Linked DNA regions of Kluyveromyces lactis. The protein of the gene in region 2 interacts with the protein of the main gene of each other region in a biochemical or structural test. Links are inferred from orthologs where the notes say so. Each region holds a gene or a part of one and is shown on either strand. Other genes may lie near its edges.

Evidence for each region.
Region 1: of the proteins of HMT1 (region 2) and HRP1, one has a biochemical effect on the other in vitro, tested with the Saccharomyces cerevisiae proteins (4 studies listed by BioGRID). The link is inferred for Kluyveromyces lactis from reciprocal best matches to the Saccharomyces cerevisiae genes HMT1 and HRP1.
Region 3: of the proteins of HMT1 (region 2) and NPL3, one has a biochemical effect on the other in vitro, tested with the Saccharomyces cerevisiae proteins (12 studies listed by BioGRID, with this or other methods). The link is inferred for Kluyveromyces lactis from reciprocal best matches to the Saccharomyces cerevisiae genes HMT1 and NPL3.
Region 4: of the proteins of HMT1 (region 2) and NSR1, one has a biochemical effect on the other in vitro, tested with the Saccharomyces cerevisiae proteins (2 studies listed by BioGRID). The link is inferred for Kluyveromyces lactis from reciprocal best matches to the Saccharomyces cerevisiae genes HMT1 and NSR1.

Annotation. Positions count from the first base shown.
Region 1 is NC_006039.1:1,093,263-1,096,821, forward strand, and holds HRP1 (Hrp1p), read left to right. Parts: upstream 1-1,311; coding exon 1,312-3,024; downstream 3,025-3,559. Other genes in the region: TRM11 (tRNA (guanine-N2-)-methyltransferase), read right to left, coding at 1-302. UniProt on the Saccharomyces cerevisiae protein: RNA-binding protein, which is involved in the polyadenylation-dependent pre-mRNA 3'-end formation and cooperates with the cleavage factor CFIA complex and the cleavage and polyadenylation factor (CPF) complex.
Region 2 is NC_006038.1:617,124-619,957, forward strand, and holds HMT1 (protein-arginine omega-N methyltransferase HMT1), read left to right. Parts: upstream 1-1,244; coding exon 1,245-2,291; downstream 2,292-2,834. Other genes in the region: DNA replication protein PSF1, read left to right, coding at 207-842. UniProt on the Saccharomyces cerevisiae protein: S-adenosyl-L-methionine-dependent protein-arginine N-methyltransferase that catalyzes both the mono- and asymmetric (type I) dimethylation of the guanidino nitrogens of arginine residues in a variety of RNA-binding proteins such as heterogeneous nuclear ribonucleoproteins (hnRNPs) and small nuclear ribonucleoproteins (snRNPs).
Region 3 is NC_006038.1:76,043-79,021, forward strand, and holds NPL3 (mRNA-binding protein NPL3), read left to right. Parts: upstream 1-1,396; coding exon 1,397-2,425; downstream 2,426-2,979. Other genes in the region: CYM1 (pitrilysin family metalloprotease), read right to left, coding at 1-567. UniProt on the Saccharomyces cerevisiae protein: Involved in mRNA processing and export. Required for efficient splicing of a large set of pre-mRNAs by efficient co-transcriptional recruitment of the splicing machinery. Remains associated with the mRNP during early steps of translation elongation.
Region 4 is NC_006039.1:990,308-993,502, reverse strand, and holds NSR1 (Nsr1p), read left to right. Parts: upstream 1-1,333; coding exon 1,334-2,671; downstream 2,672-3,195. Other genes in the region: KLLA0_C11517g (gag-pol fusion protein), read left to right, coding at 1-429. UniProt on the Saccharomyces cerevisiae protein: Involved in pre-rRNA processing. Specifically binds nuclear localization sequences. Candidate for a receptor at the nucleus that may be involved in both RNA and protein transport. Binds telomeric sequences of the type (TG[1-3])n in vitro.

The DNA.
Region 1 (3,559 bases), on a different chromosome or scaffold from region 2:
TTTCTTTCATTTGCGCTCTTATACTGTTCAAACTCGGGATGAGCTTGGACACTCTTGTGCAACGACTCATAAGTATTACCTTCACCCCAGTACTCATAAATGGCTCTTGTAAGCACCGATCTCCTAATCCAATCACTGGCTTGCTTATCATTTTCCAAGGTAACTATCATGAATGGTGAATCGACAGAATAACTCGAAAAGTCGACATCAACTCCATGCAGATCCGCTAGTGATTCCAATTCTGCTAGACGGAAATTTAAGTGCACCTGCACCATAAACAAAAGATACCGCTTCCTAGCCATAGATGATGGTTATAACTGGCGTTTGTATTAATTCTAAATCCGGAAGTACGAAAAGTGATTAACTGAGAAGTCGCACTTTCGATTAAAGAGGATCTCATCTCATCGCAGCTCATCTCGATATTTCGCTTTCTCTGCATGTTTAGCTGAAGTCGGCGTTGAATGAGTAAAGAAAGGTATATAGGATTTCATTACCCGGTGTTTCTGATTGTTTGGGCGCAGTTTTGGGACGAGTTGTCAAAAAGTTTCTTTTTTTGCAAGGCGAAATCGACAAAATGACAACCAAAAAGGCCCTAAAGCATGAATTTTTCACTAAGAACAGCGAATAATTTTTGGGGCCAAGTTGTTGCCATTGGAAAAAAAAAAAAATTAATTTGAATATAAAAGCAGTACAGGAGAAAAATTGAAGGGGCAGAATGTTTCTTCCTGTTTGTTTACCACTTTCCAGGTGATTAGACAGTCTAAAGAGATAATCAAGTCACTAAAACGAGTTAGGGAAGGATATAGGATTCAAAAGTATAGAAGTACCCGTATATCATTAGCGAATCGAAATAATCAACGGAACAAAGAATATTTACACTGTATTTTTTCTTTTTCTTTTCATTTATAAGATACCGATTGTTTTCAATAGAGTTTTAGAAATTGCAAACTAGGAGAGAGGAACCATTGTTACCGGAAATAGCTCATATTTGTTTTATTTTCGTACTGTATTAGATCTCAGTTATTACTTTATTATCGTCTACTACTACTTTTAACGTATAACATTAAACTTTGCTGTGTGTTGCTGTGTTTAAGCTATAAAATCCCCATACAGACAAAAAGAACAAGGATCATTTAAGTAGAGCGGAAGAGGAACGGCGCAGGAAACTTACACAGCGTTATCGTACTTATATTTACAAACGTTTACTGCAGATTTATCATATTTAGTGTACAGAACTAAGAAAATCCAAGTGGTAAAGTGAACGGTGCAACAAGTAGACGAATAAGAAGAAATTGAAATATTGCATTCAAGATGAGTTTATCAGACGATGAAGATTTTAACGACATCTACGGTGATGAAAATACCGCTCAAACCACGGTGAACAATAACGAGTCGACTTCATCAACTGCAACATCTACAGATAATCAAAATAATACTCAAAGTAATAATAATCAAAATAACGTTAGTAATAGCTCGACAGATGATCACAAAGATCAAGCTTCAACTACCAATAAAGAGGCTAATAGTAGTAGCACAAACACCACCGCGGCAACATCTCAATTAGATCAACTAGCAGCTTTACAGGCTTTGTCATCTAACCTGTCACAACTGCAACAGCAGGTTGCCTCTTCAAATAATCAACCAGATTCTAATCTTGCATCCAATAATGACAAGGCTGAAAACAATAACAAGGAAAACTACAGTGCTTCCGTTCCTGAAATGCTGCAGATGCCTCAAATGCCACAGATGCCAGGTATGCCAGATATGTCACAGTTGCAACAATTGCAACAGACTATGTCTCAATTGCAACAAACTGCATCTCAGCATGAACCAAAGGCTATCAAAGCTGATTTGTCTCGTGACATTAACAAGATGTTCATTGGTGGTCTAAATTGGGAAACCACCGAAGAGGGTTTACGTGATTACTTCAGCAAATACGGTGCAGTCGCTGAAGTTAAGATTATGAAGGACACTGCTACCGGTAGGTCCAGAGGTTTTGGGTTCTTGACATTTGAAAACGCTTCTAGTGTCGATGAAGTCGTTAAAACACAACATATCTTAGACGGTAAGGTTATCGATCCAAAGAGAGCCATTCCAAGGGAAGAACAAGATAAGACTGGTAAAATTTTCGTTGGTGGTATTGGTCCAGACGTCAGACCAAAAGAATTTGAAGAATTTTTCTCTCAATGGGGATCCATCATTGATGCCCAACTAATGTTAGACAAAGATACTGGTAGATCTAGAGGCTTTGGTTTCATTACTTATGATACACCAGATGCAGTTGACAGAGTTTGTCAAAACAAATTTATTGAGTTCAAGGGTAAACAAATAGAAATCAAGAGAGCTGAACCTAGACAATTACAAAAGCAAAAACAACCTCAAATGACTCAACCAATGGGACAAAATATGAGCAACCCAATGCAACAGTATCAGATGTTCCAAAATCCAATGATGGCAGGCGGTTTCAATCCTATGATGGCCACTGGTTTCAACCCTCAATCGATGAACGAATACTACACTAAGATGCAAGAGTATTATCAACAAATGCAACAACAAACTGGTATCGATTATACTCAAATGTTCCAACAGCAAATGCAACAAATGCAACAGATGATGGGTATGATGGGCGGTCTTCCTGCAGGCCAACAACCTTCTCAAAGTGGTGCAGGATCTCCACCAAGCCATTCATCCACCCCTCAACACAACGACGACAGTAATGGTGTCACTACTATTGGGAGCTCAAATAATGGCAACCGTAGTAACAGTGGAGTAGAATCTGGAGATGACTCAAGATACGATAATTCATCAAGCCGTGATGATTCTCGTCGTTCAGGACACAGAGCATACGATCGCAACTCTGATCGTAGCAGTTATGGCTCGTCTAACCGCGACCGTGACAGCTGTCGTGGCCCATCTTCAAACTATCGCGGAGGTGGTGGCCGTGATCGTGATTCCCGCCGTGGTGGTAATGGGTATGGCGGTGGAAGCAGAGATAGACGTGGATACCACCCATACGCCAGGTAATCTGCTTGTATGTTAGATTTATTATAAGGTAAAGAAATCTGCGTATGTAGCCGCGAGCAAGAGGATACTTTGTGTTACTTGTTATATTTGCGATCCATCCATTTCTTTAACTGAGCCTCTCATAACCATGTAATAATAGAAATATAATGAAAGCAATGATTCCTAAGCATCGGATCAAATCACATTCCTTGCTGCAAATGTCACACAATATTTTACCATACTCTGTTTACCTGATTCATGAACGTTAACACGAAGCATCAACGCAATTTTATTCAACTTTTATTGCTAATCAAAGCTTAATTTTATATAATAACATGTAAATCAGTATATATCAATCAAACTTACAGTTTATCAACTACTATTCAACCTGACATTGGACCTCACACCGAATGGTCAGTGTGTGTATATACAGTTGTCAGTATTCATGTATATTTGGTACAGGTTAGGTTGCTTCTCAATCTGATTTTGAATATAGGCAAAAGTGAAAAAATATCAAAATCAATTCCAATTTGACATATACTAGCATTCACAATTA
Region 2 (2,834 bases):
GTTGTAATTTGTTCGCGTCTAAACAGTATCGTTTCACGTTAAAGTCCTTAAATTTTACGTGTTTTCCTCAAAGCGATTTCAATCTAGAGAAGAGAAAAGCTATGAACAACTTTTACAGAGATAACACAGAGGGAAAAGAACGTGCTAAAAGACCTGGAACTGGATTCAAGTCATTGGTTTTGATTATCATTGCCATAGTACCGAAAATGTACGGAGATCTCGCTAACAAGTTGATACTAGAAGCAAAGAGAACGCAACAGTTATCTCAAGCTGGATTCAACAAACAGCAATTACCAGTATATCAAGACGAGCTAGTCCGTGGCATCCTGAAAGAGGTTGGATCCCTCAAGAAGAACGTGGATTACCTACGAGAACAGCAGCTTACTGATCAGGATAACAAAGTCGCTCAATGCCAGTACGTCGTTGCTATGCTTTCGATGGAAAGAAACAAAAGATGTCTATTAGCATACCAAAAGATGAGAAGTGAGATGCTAGACTCAATGGTTTGGGATAACAACGGGATGGAATTTTCTTCTGCCATATCAAACCACCCGAATCTATCATCGTTTGATTCCTCTGTTTTATCACATGCAGAACAAGAGTATCTCAAAGAGTATGCACAACTACTTACCGAATTGAAATCGGGAGAACTCTCAGAAATCGATTTGACTGGGATGTTACAACCGCCGAGCGATGTGTTCATCGACGTACGAGTATTGAAAGATGCAGGACAAATAGAAACAGAGTACGGTGTATTCAACCTGATTAAAGATTCCCAATTTTTCGTCAGACAATCCGACGTCGAAAGACTTATACAACAAGGATATCTGCAGAAGATATAGCAAGGCAGCTTTTTTCGCCGAATTCTGCACCTTTCATTGCAATTCTGTAGATATCATTGCTGGTGATATTGCTGATGCAACCGTTCCAAATGCAACTAACTAGCTTTACCTCACTTTCACTATGGGGAATGCACGATTTCTTTTTGGATTTCTTTTTCTTGCAGCTCATCGCCTTCAAAAATTTTTCAGTTTTGTATTTAAGGCAACGAGGCATAAGTAACAGAACAGTACTTGATCTGGAACCAACTTGTTAGAACGGTTATTGGTTTGATTGCATTGAGTATAGTGTACAGCTTATTGGGATATAATATTTGTCACCATACATATACCAAGACTTGTGTTTCATCTTTAGTCTAATTGTTGAGCATATCTTTCCTAATTGTAAAGCTAATAAAATAAAGGATGTCCAAGACTGATGTCACTGATTCTGCTACGCAGAAAAAAGAATTGAACGAGTATGAACAACACTATTTCACCTCTTATGACCATTTCGGTATTCATGAAGAGATGTTGCAAGATACTGTGCGTACGCTTTCGTACCGTAACGCTATAGCCCAAAATAAGGACTTCTTTAAAGGTAAGGTTGTCCTAGATGTTGGATGCGGTACTGGTATTCTATCTATGTTTGCTGCAAAGAACGGTGCTAAGCATGTCATTGGTGTTGATATGTCTAGTATTATTGAAATGGCTAAGCAAATTGTTGAATTGAATGGTCTTTCAGACAAGATCACTTTGTTACGTGGTAAATTGGAAGACGTTGTGTTGCCTTATAAGAAGGTTGATATCATTATTTCCGAATGGATGGGTTACTTCTTATTATACGAATCCATGTTGGATACCGTGTTGTATGCACGTGATAACTACTTGGTCGAAGGTGGGTTGATCTTCCCTGACAAGTGTTCCATTCACATTGCTGGTCTTGAAGATTCTAAGTATAAGGGCGAAAAGCTGAACTTTTGGCAAGACGTTTATGGGTTCGATTACTCACCATTTATCCCATTGGTGAAAAGAGAACCTTTGGTCGATACAGTGGAAAACAGTTCTGTTAATACTACCAAATGTAAATTAATCGAATTTGATCTTAATACAGTGACTATCCCAGATTTGGCATTCCACAGCAAGTTTAAATTGCAGGCAAAGAGACAAGATTTCATTAATGGGTTGATTTCATGGTTCGATATTGAATTCCCAGCACCAAAGGGTAACAAACCTGTCACTTTCTCCACTGGTGCCCATGCTACATACACCCATTGGAAACAAACCGTCTTCTATTTGGAAGACGATTTGGAATGTGAAGCTAATGATATCCTAGAAGGTGAATTGACCTGTTTACCAAACAAAGATAACAACAGAGATTTGGATATCAAGATCGTGTACAATTTCAAGGCCTCTGGTCCAGACGGTAAAGAAAGGTCAAGAAAGGGTACCAACACTTACTTGATGCATTAAAATAGTAGCTATGTTGTTTTTCTTACTCAGTCCATTATTTGGGGCCCTTTTTACGTAAACTATTCGTTTACTATTCCCATTGAGGCTCAGATCACCTTCAGATTATGTTTATTACTTGGTTAATTCTGAAGGAATGCAGCTCTTTCAACCTTTCAATGCCTTCGATTCCATTGTGAACTTCACTATTATCATTAACATTAAGAAACAAAGATAAAATAAAAAGGAAATGAAAGCCCCTCTCGCAATTCCAAGCAGTTTGTAACAGTACTTAGCAACCACACCCAATTATTTCCTGCTTAGGCTTCAAGATTATATAATTCTCTATGTATTATATTTTGCAAATTTGATAAGCATTATAGACAAATGTTCACTCCGCCTCTTGCAATAAGAAAAAGACAACGCTCGCTAAAACAATGAATGATTTGAGAGACGCTACATAGAGATATATACGTAGAAACTAATTTTAGTCTATAAGCAGAGCTCAAGCTCTCTCACAACAAGATTGTTTTGGGATTGGGAAGAAGTAGCAATTGAATACAAAAA
Region 3 (2,979 bases), about 540 kb from region 2:
TTGACCCTTCATTTCATTGTATACAACACCTTTGAAACCTATATCGCTGTTTGGATCATCAACCTTAGTGTGTTCAAGCCTCCAACCTTCTTGTAGGAAATCTTGCTGATTCAACAATGGATTTAGAGTTGCATCAAGGTAAACGTCTCTTAGATTAGCAAAATCCGTCTCATTAGTGGTAGCAAACGGGTAAAAAGTATAGTCATGACCAGTCATAGCGTTCATGAAGTTTGCCAACGATCTGTTTAACATCTTGAAGAACGGATCGCGAACAGGATACTTATGAGAACCGCAAAGAGTTGTGTGTTCCAAAATATGTGGCACACCAGTTGAATCCGGGGGATTGGTTTTGAATCCGATACTGAACACGTTGTTGTTATCATCTCTATCAATATGTAAATGTTGTGAACCGGTTTGGTTATGCAATAAATCCACGGCTGTTAGCTTTAGTTCAGGGACAGGAAGTAATCGTTTCACTTCATATCCGTGAAAAACGCCACCTACTGGGTACTTCCTCAGCGCCCGAGACTGTGCATATTTTGTGGCATAGTTACGAATTTGAAACATGGTATTTTATAATGCAAGAATTCTCCACCTGGATTTAGATTCAATATTCCTTCGCTTATATTTCAAACCCAGTTTTTTCGATCTTGGTATATTAATCAATGATTACTGTCGTCAACGATTCTATAACGATTTATTGCGAATAAATAGATAAAAGAAATGCAAAGAGAAAACGAACGGTCAAAATATCGGAAATATCCCCTCTAAACTGCTAGTTCGCTTGGCTTTTCGTTTCTTGCCTCTGAGATAAATTCGCTAAATTGACTTATCAATATGTTAAGAGACCTTTGGCATGCTCTAGTATCTTTCCTCCAGGATTCCATACTATCGAAGAAAAACAGCTATGAACTACGGTCTCACTTCTGACGAGTTAAAAAAATGAAAAACTGAAGTTCAAGTCACGTGATACATGTGTCACTCTTACCTTTCTGTATAACAATGGTAAATACAAGTAGCAATGAGAGCATTTGATCAATATAGCCTCTCAGATCGTATTTGGTAGGAGTATGACTTGTATGAGGGCTTATATCTGTGCATGCGATACTTATCAGCACTCATTCTAAAAAGACTTGTACCGAGGATTCCAGAGTTTTACCCTACCTACCAAACCTTGTTTGACACTATTCTCTTCTGTCTTTTCTTTTCCCGATGTTCATTTAAAATTTTCACTTTCTCCTATATATAAAGACATATTTAAAACCTGGTTTTTGGAAAAAAAATTCTACTCCATCATCGTTGAGTGGCGTTGCAGTATTGTTTTTGACTAAGATATTAGTGTTTCACTTCTTTTGCTCAAGGTACAACCAAGAACACTTACTCGCGAAATATCAAGATGTCTGACGTTCCTCCTCCTCCAGCTGTCGAAGAAGAAACCTATGAAAAGCCATATGAAAAGCCATATGAAAAGCCATATGAAACTGCTCCACCACCTCAAAGTTATGAAAATTTCAATAATAGAGTTGATGACGATGAAGAGCTTTCTGATACCAGACTATTTGTGAAGCCTTTCCCTCCAGATGTCACTGATGCTGAAATGAAGGAAATTTTCGAACCTTTCGGTGCTTTGAAGGAAATAAAGATTTTAAATGGGTTCGCTTTTGTTGAGTTTGAAGAAGCTGAGTCTGCTTCCCAAGCTATTCAAAACGTTGCCGGTAAAATGTTTGCCGACTACCCATTGGAAGTTGTATTTTCCAAGAAGTTAAAGCCAAGATTCAGAGTCATTATCAGAAACTTGCCAGAAGGCTGTGCTTGGCAAGAATTGAAGGATTTGGCCAGAGATAACCAGTTAGAAACTACTTTCTCCAGTGTCAACACCAGAGACTTTGACGGTACTGGTGCTCTTGAATTCCCAACCGAAGAGATCCTGCAGGAAGCCATTGAAAAGTTGAACAACATCGAATTCCGTGGTTCAGTTTTGGCTGTTGAAAAAGATGAAAACCCACCACCAATCAGATCCTCTCGTGGTCGTGGTGGTTTTAGAGGCCGTGGCGGTTTCGGTCGCGGTGGCTTTGGTGGCCGTGGTGGTTTCGGCGGTCGCGGTGGTTTCGGCGGCCGTGGAGGCTTCGGTGGTCCAAGAGGTGGCTTTGGTGGCCGTGGCGGTTTCGGCGGTCGCGGTGGCTTTGGCGGTCCAAGAGGTGGCTTTGGCGGTCGCGGTGGCTTCGGTGGTCCAAGAGGCGGTTTCCGTGGTGGCCGTGGTGGCTACGGTGGTCCAAGAGGCGGTTACGGTGACTTTGGTGGTCGTGGCGGTGGTTACGGTGGCCGTGGCGGTTACGGTAACAGAGACTACGCACCAAGAGAAGACTACCAAAGAGGCAGCGGAGAAGGCTACCAAGCGCGTGAAAGATCTCCAGTTAGAGATTAGAGGATTTCTGGAGTGCACAAATAGCTTTCATCTAAGAATGTTGTGAAATTACTTCAAGCATCAAACCGTGTGTCCCTACCATTATCATCGGAGTTGGTATTAGCTTTCTTTTGTCACTTTTAACAGAATTATTATGCTTACTATCTTAGGGAGTTATAAGCTCTTGTTTTCGCCCGTTGTTTTCATACTTTGTCGTTACACCAAGAAACCTCTGAACTTTACTTGGAATTTGAATTTACTCACAATTGTTGGGAATGAATTGAAGGTATCAACCTTGATGGATTGAGAATAAAAAAAAAAATTAAATATTAGTATAGGAAAAACCTCCCATCATCAGGAAAAAATCTTTTTACTTGTGGATCCGAACAGAACATCAAGGATCGTGAGGAGAAGGAAAAAATGATTATGTTTTTATAGTGGATTATTATTGTATTGTTTTATTATTTATCTTTGCGACTAGAAAAGAGGTCTTCCAGAGTAAGGAAGAAGTAGTGATGATCATGGAAATCAATTTCGCGAGGGAAATTGGTTGTGTTTTGTAACTGTGCTTGAAA
Region 4 (3,195 bases), on a different chromosome or scaffold from region 2:
ACTGAACCAACTATTGAATCAAGTATTGAAACAAATGTTGAGGCAAGTACTGAATCAGGTACCACCGAAACAACAGAGATCTATTCCACACCACTTTCAGAAACTACCATCACATCAGAGAACTGTTATGGAACACGCTGTACGACTGTTACAAGTACAGTCACTGTTCCAGTCACTGATCTAACAACTTCAACTTCACCATCAAACTCTTCACCATCATCAGCACCAAATGAAACTACGGAACCTATGGAACCTTCATTGGAATCTTTTACCTCTCAAGCACCAAAAACAGACACAGAACAAAGTTCTTCTACGGTAAGCTTTGGAGCAGTTTCTTCGATTTCAATATTTCAAGGTGTTGCTTCTTCCATAAACGCAAGATCTTCAACAATATTTGGAGTATTTCTGGGATTAATCTCTCTACTCTGAGTTTATTGCGAAGAATAAATACAATTGAGAAATTATTATCGGGCATCAATCTCATCGTATTTAAAGCTCTAACCCAACACTAACCATTTCAAGTTCATTCTTACCTTCAATTTTGACACAAACATTAATTTAAACACTGATATATCTGCATCTCTATTTCTCCTGTTTTACTTAAAGGAAGCAAATCCTTTGACCCTAAATATTTTTTCCCATGTTCTTTCAACACAAGGTGGGTGCACTATCGATTATAAAAGTCTCTCGGTTTTTTTCTATAAGTATATTGGGCAATGAACTAAGAAATTATTGAGGACAATTATAAAGTGTATTTTGTGACGTATACCTTTATGTACTTTTTAATAGATTACAAACTAACATCAATACTCTCTCGTAATTTAAAACCATTTTCACTATAATTTAATAACTATATGTCATGAATATCTGCTTTGTAGGTTTTCTTCATCTATTCATCACTGATTATTCACAGTTGACATTTCATCAACTGCCATCGGATCAGAGGAATACAACCTTGGAGAGAACGCAGTCGCGCGCCAGAAATTAAAAGAACCCATACCTCGCACCAAATTATCACGAATTTTCATGGTAATTTCTTTTCAATAAAAAATGTGATGAAAAGTTTTTTCAGTGAAAAAAACCCAAACAAAAACGGAAAAGAAACGATTTAAGTGAAAAATTATTGTCTCTGTACTCTTCAGCTCATCGCATTGGAAAAAGAAGTTTGTTATAAGAGAAGATAAGTTATACCTGCTCAGTAACACTTCTTCATTAACTAACATTTATTGATATAACGCTATTTTGAAACGCAATTCTTGTAGCATCGAGTCTTGTTGATTATCTATTAACAGAGTACAGAATAATATCATCGCTCAAACATACAATTCACATAATGGGTAAATCAACTGACAAGAAGGTTTCCAAGAAGGTTTCCAAGAAGGACCTAAAGCTAAAAAAGAAGCAAGATGAAAAGAAGGTGAAGGCTGTTGAACCAGAATCTAGCTCCGATTCCAGCTCTGATTCTAGCTCTGATTCTAGCTCTGATTCTAGCTCTGATTCCTCTTCTGATTCCGATTCTTCTTCCTCTTCTGACTCTTCTGACTCTTCTGACGAAGAAGAAGAACCAAAGAAGGAAACTAAGAAGGAAGAATCTTCCTCTGATTCCGAATCCTCTTCTGATTCTGATTCCGAATCTGAAAAGGAAGAAGCTAAGAAAGAAGAATCCTCCGATTCTGACTCTTCTTCCGACTCCTCCTCAGACTCCGACTCTGATTCTGACGAAGAAGAAGAAAAGAAGGAGGAAAAGAAGAAGGAAGAATCTTCCGCTTCTTCATCTGATTCTGATTCTTCATCTGATTCTGACTCTTCATCTGATGACGATGAAGAAGAGGAAAAAAGCTCTAACAAGCGTAAGGCTGATGATGACGAAGAGAAATCTGAAAGCAAAAAGCCAAAGACTGAATTGGCTGGTGAACCAGCTACTATTTTCGTTGGTAGACTATCATGGTCCATTGACGATGAATGGTTAAAGACCGAATTTGAACCAATCGGTGGTGTCATTAGTGCCAGAGTTATGTACGAAAGAGGTACTGACAGATCCCGTGGTTATGGTTATGTCGATTTTGAAGACAAATCCTACGCTGAAAAAGCTATCAAGGAAATGCACGGTAAGGAAATTGACGGAAGACCAATCAACTGTGATATGTCTACCTCGAAGCCAGCTGGTGCTCCAAGAGACGACAGAGCAAAGAAGTTCGGCGACGTTCCATCTGAACCATCTGACACTTTGTTCTTGGGTAATTTGTCTTTCGAAGCTGACAGAGACAACTTGTACGAGATCTTTGGTAAATATGGTGAAATTGTTTCTGTTCGTATCCCAACTCACCCAGAAACTGAACAACCAAAGGGTTTCGGTTACGTTCAATACGGTAGTATTGAAGATGCCACTAAAGCCTTTGAAGGTCTACAAGGTGAATACATTAATAACAGACCAGTCAGATTAGACTACTCCATTCCAAAGCAAAACTTCGGCAACAACCAACGTGGTGGTTTTAACAGAGGTGGTTCTGACAGAGGTGGAAGAGGCGGTAGAGGCGGCAGCAGAGGCGGTAGAGGTGGCTTCGGTGGTAACAGAGGAGGTAGAGAATTCAGTTCCGGTTCTAACGCTTCTCCTCTAGGAGCTACCAGACAAACTGCTTCCTTCCAAGGTACCAAAAAGACCTTCGATTGAATTTTTGAATACTTAATACACAAGAGTTAAACAAAGTTCATTCCTCAAAGTCGAAAACACTTTTCATTATCATCCTAACATGCTCTTGGGAATAAAGAAGATCATTTCTCATCCATTGAAACAATAGAGTGTCAAAAAATAAAAATAAAAAAAAATTAAATCACAAGAATAACCATTCGTCATCTTATTTGTATCTATAGATCAACAACTGATTCATTGTAAACTTCACTGAATCGCATTCATCTTCTATTTTCTTATTTTATTTTCTTTAAATCATTTGTATATGTGTGTATAGTAGCTTTTAATATTTTTTGAACTAGAAGTCTGCGAAGAAGGTCTATGGAAAAGAGTCTCGAATCTGTGCATTTTGTAAAATTAAGCTTCATCTTTGAATCTTGTTTTAAAGGTGTAGAAAAAAGAGAAGACAAGTTTCAAGACAATTGACTGCATTACAGAATCCCTTAATACACTCGTATGACAGTCGTAACCCACCTCAAAAGATATGGACAATTTGAGAGCCACAC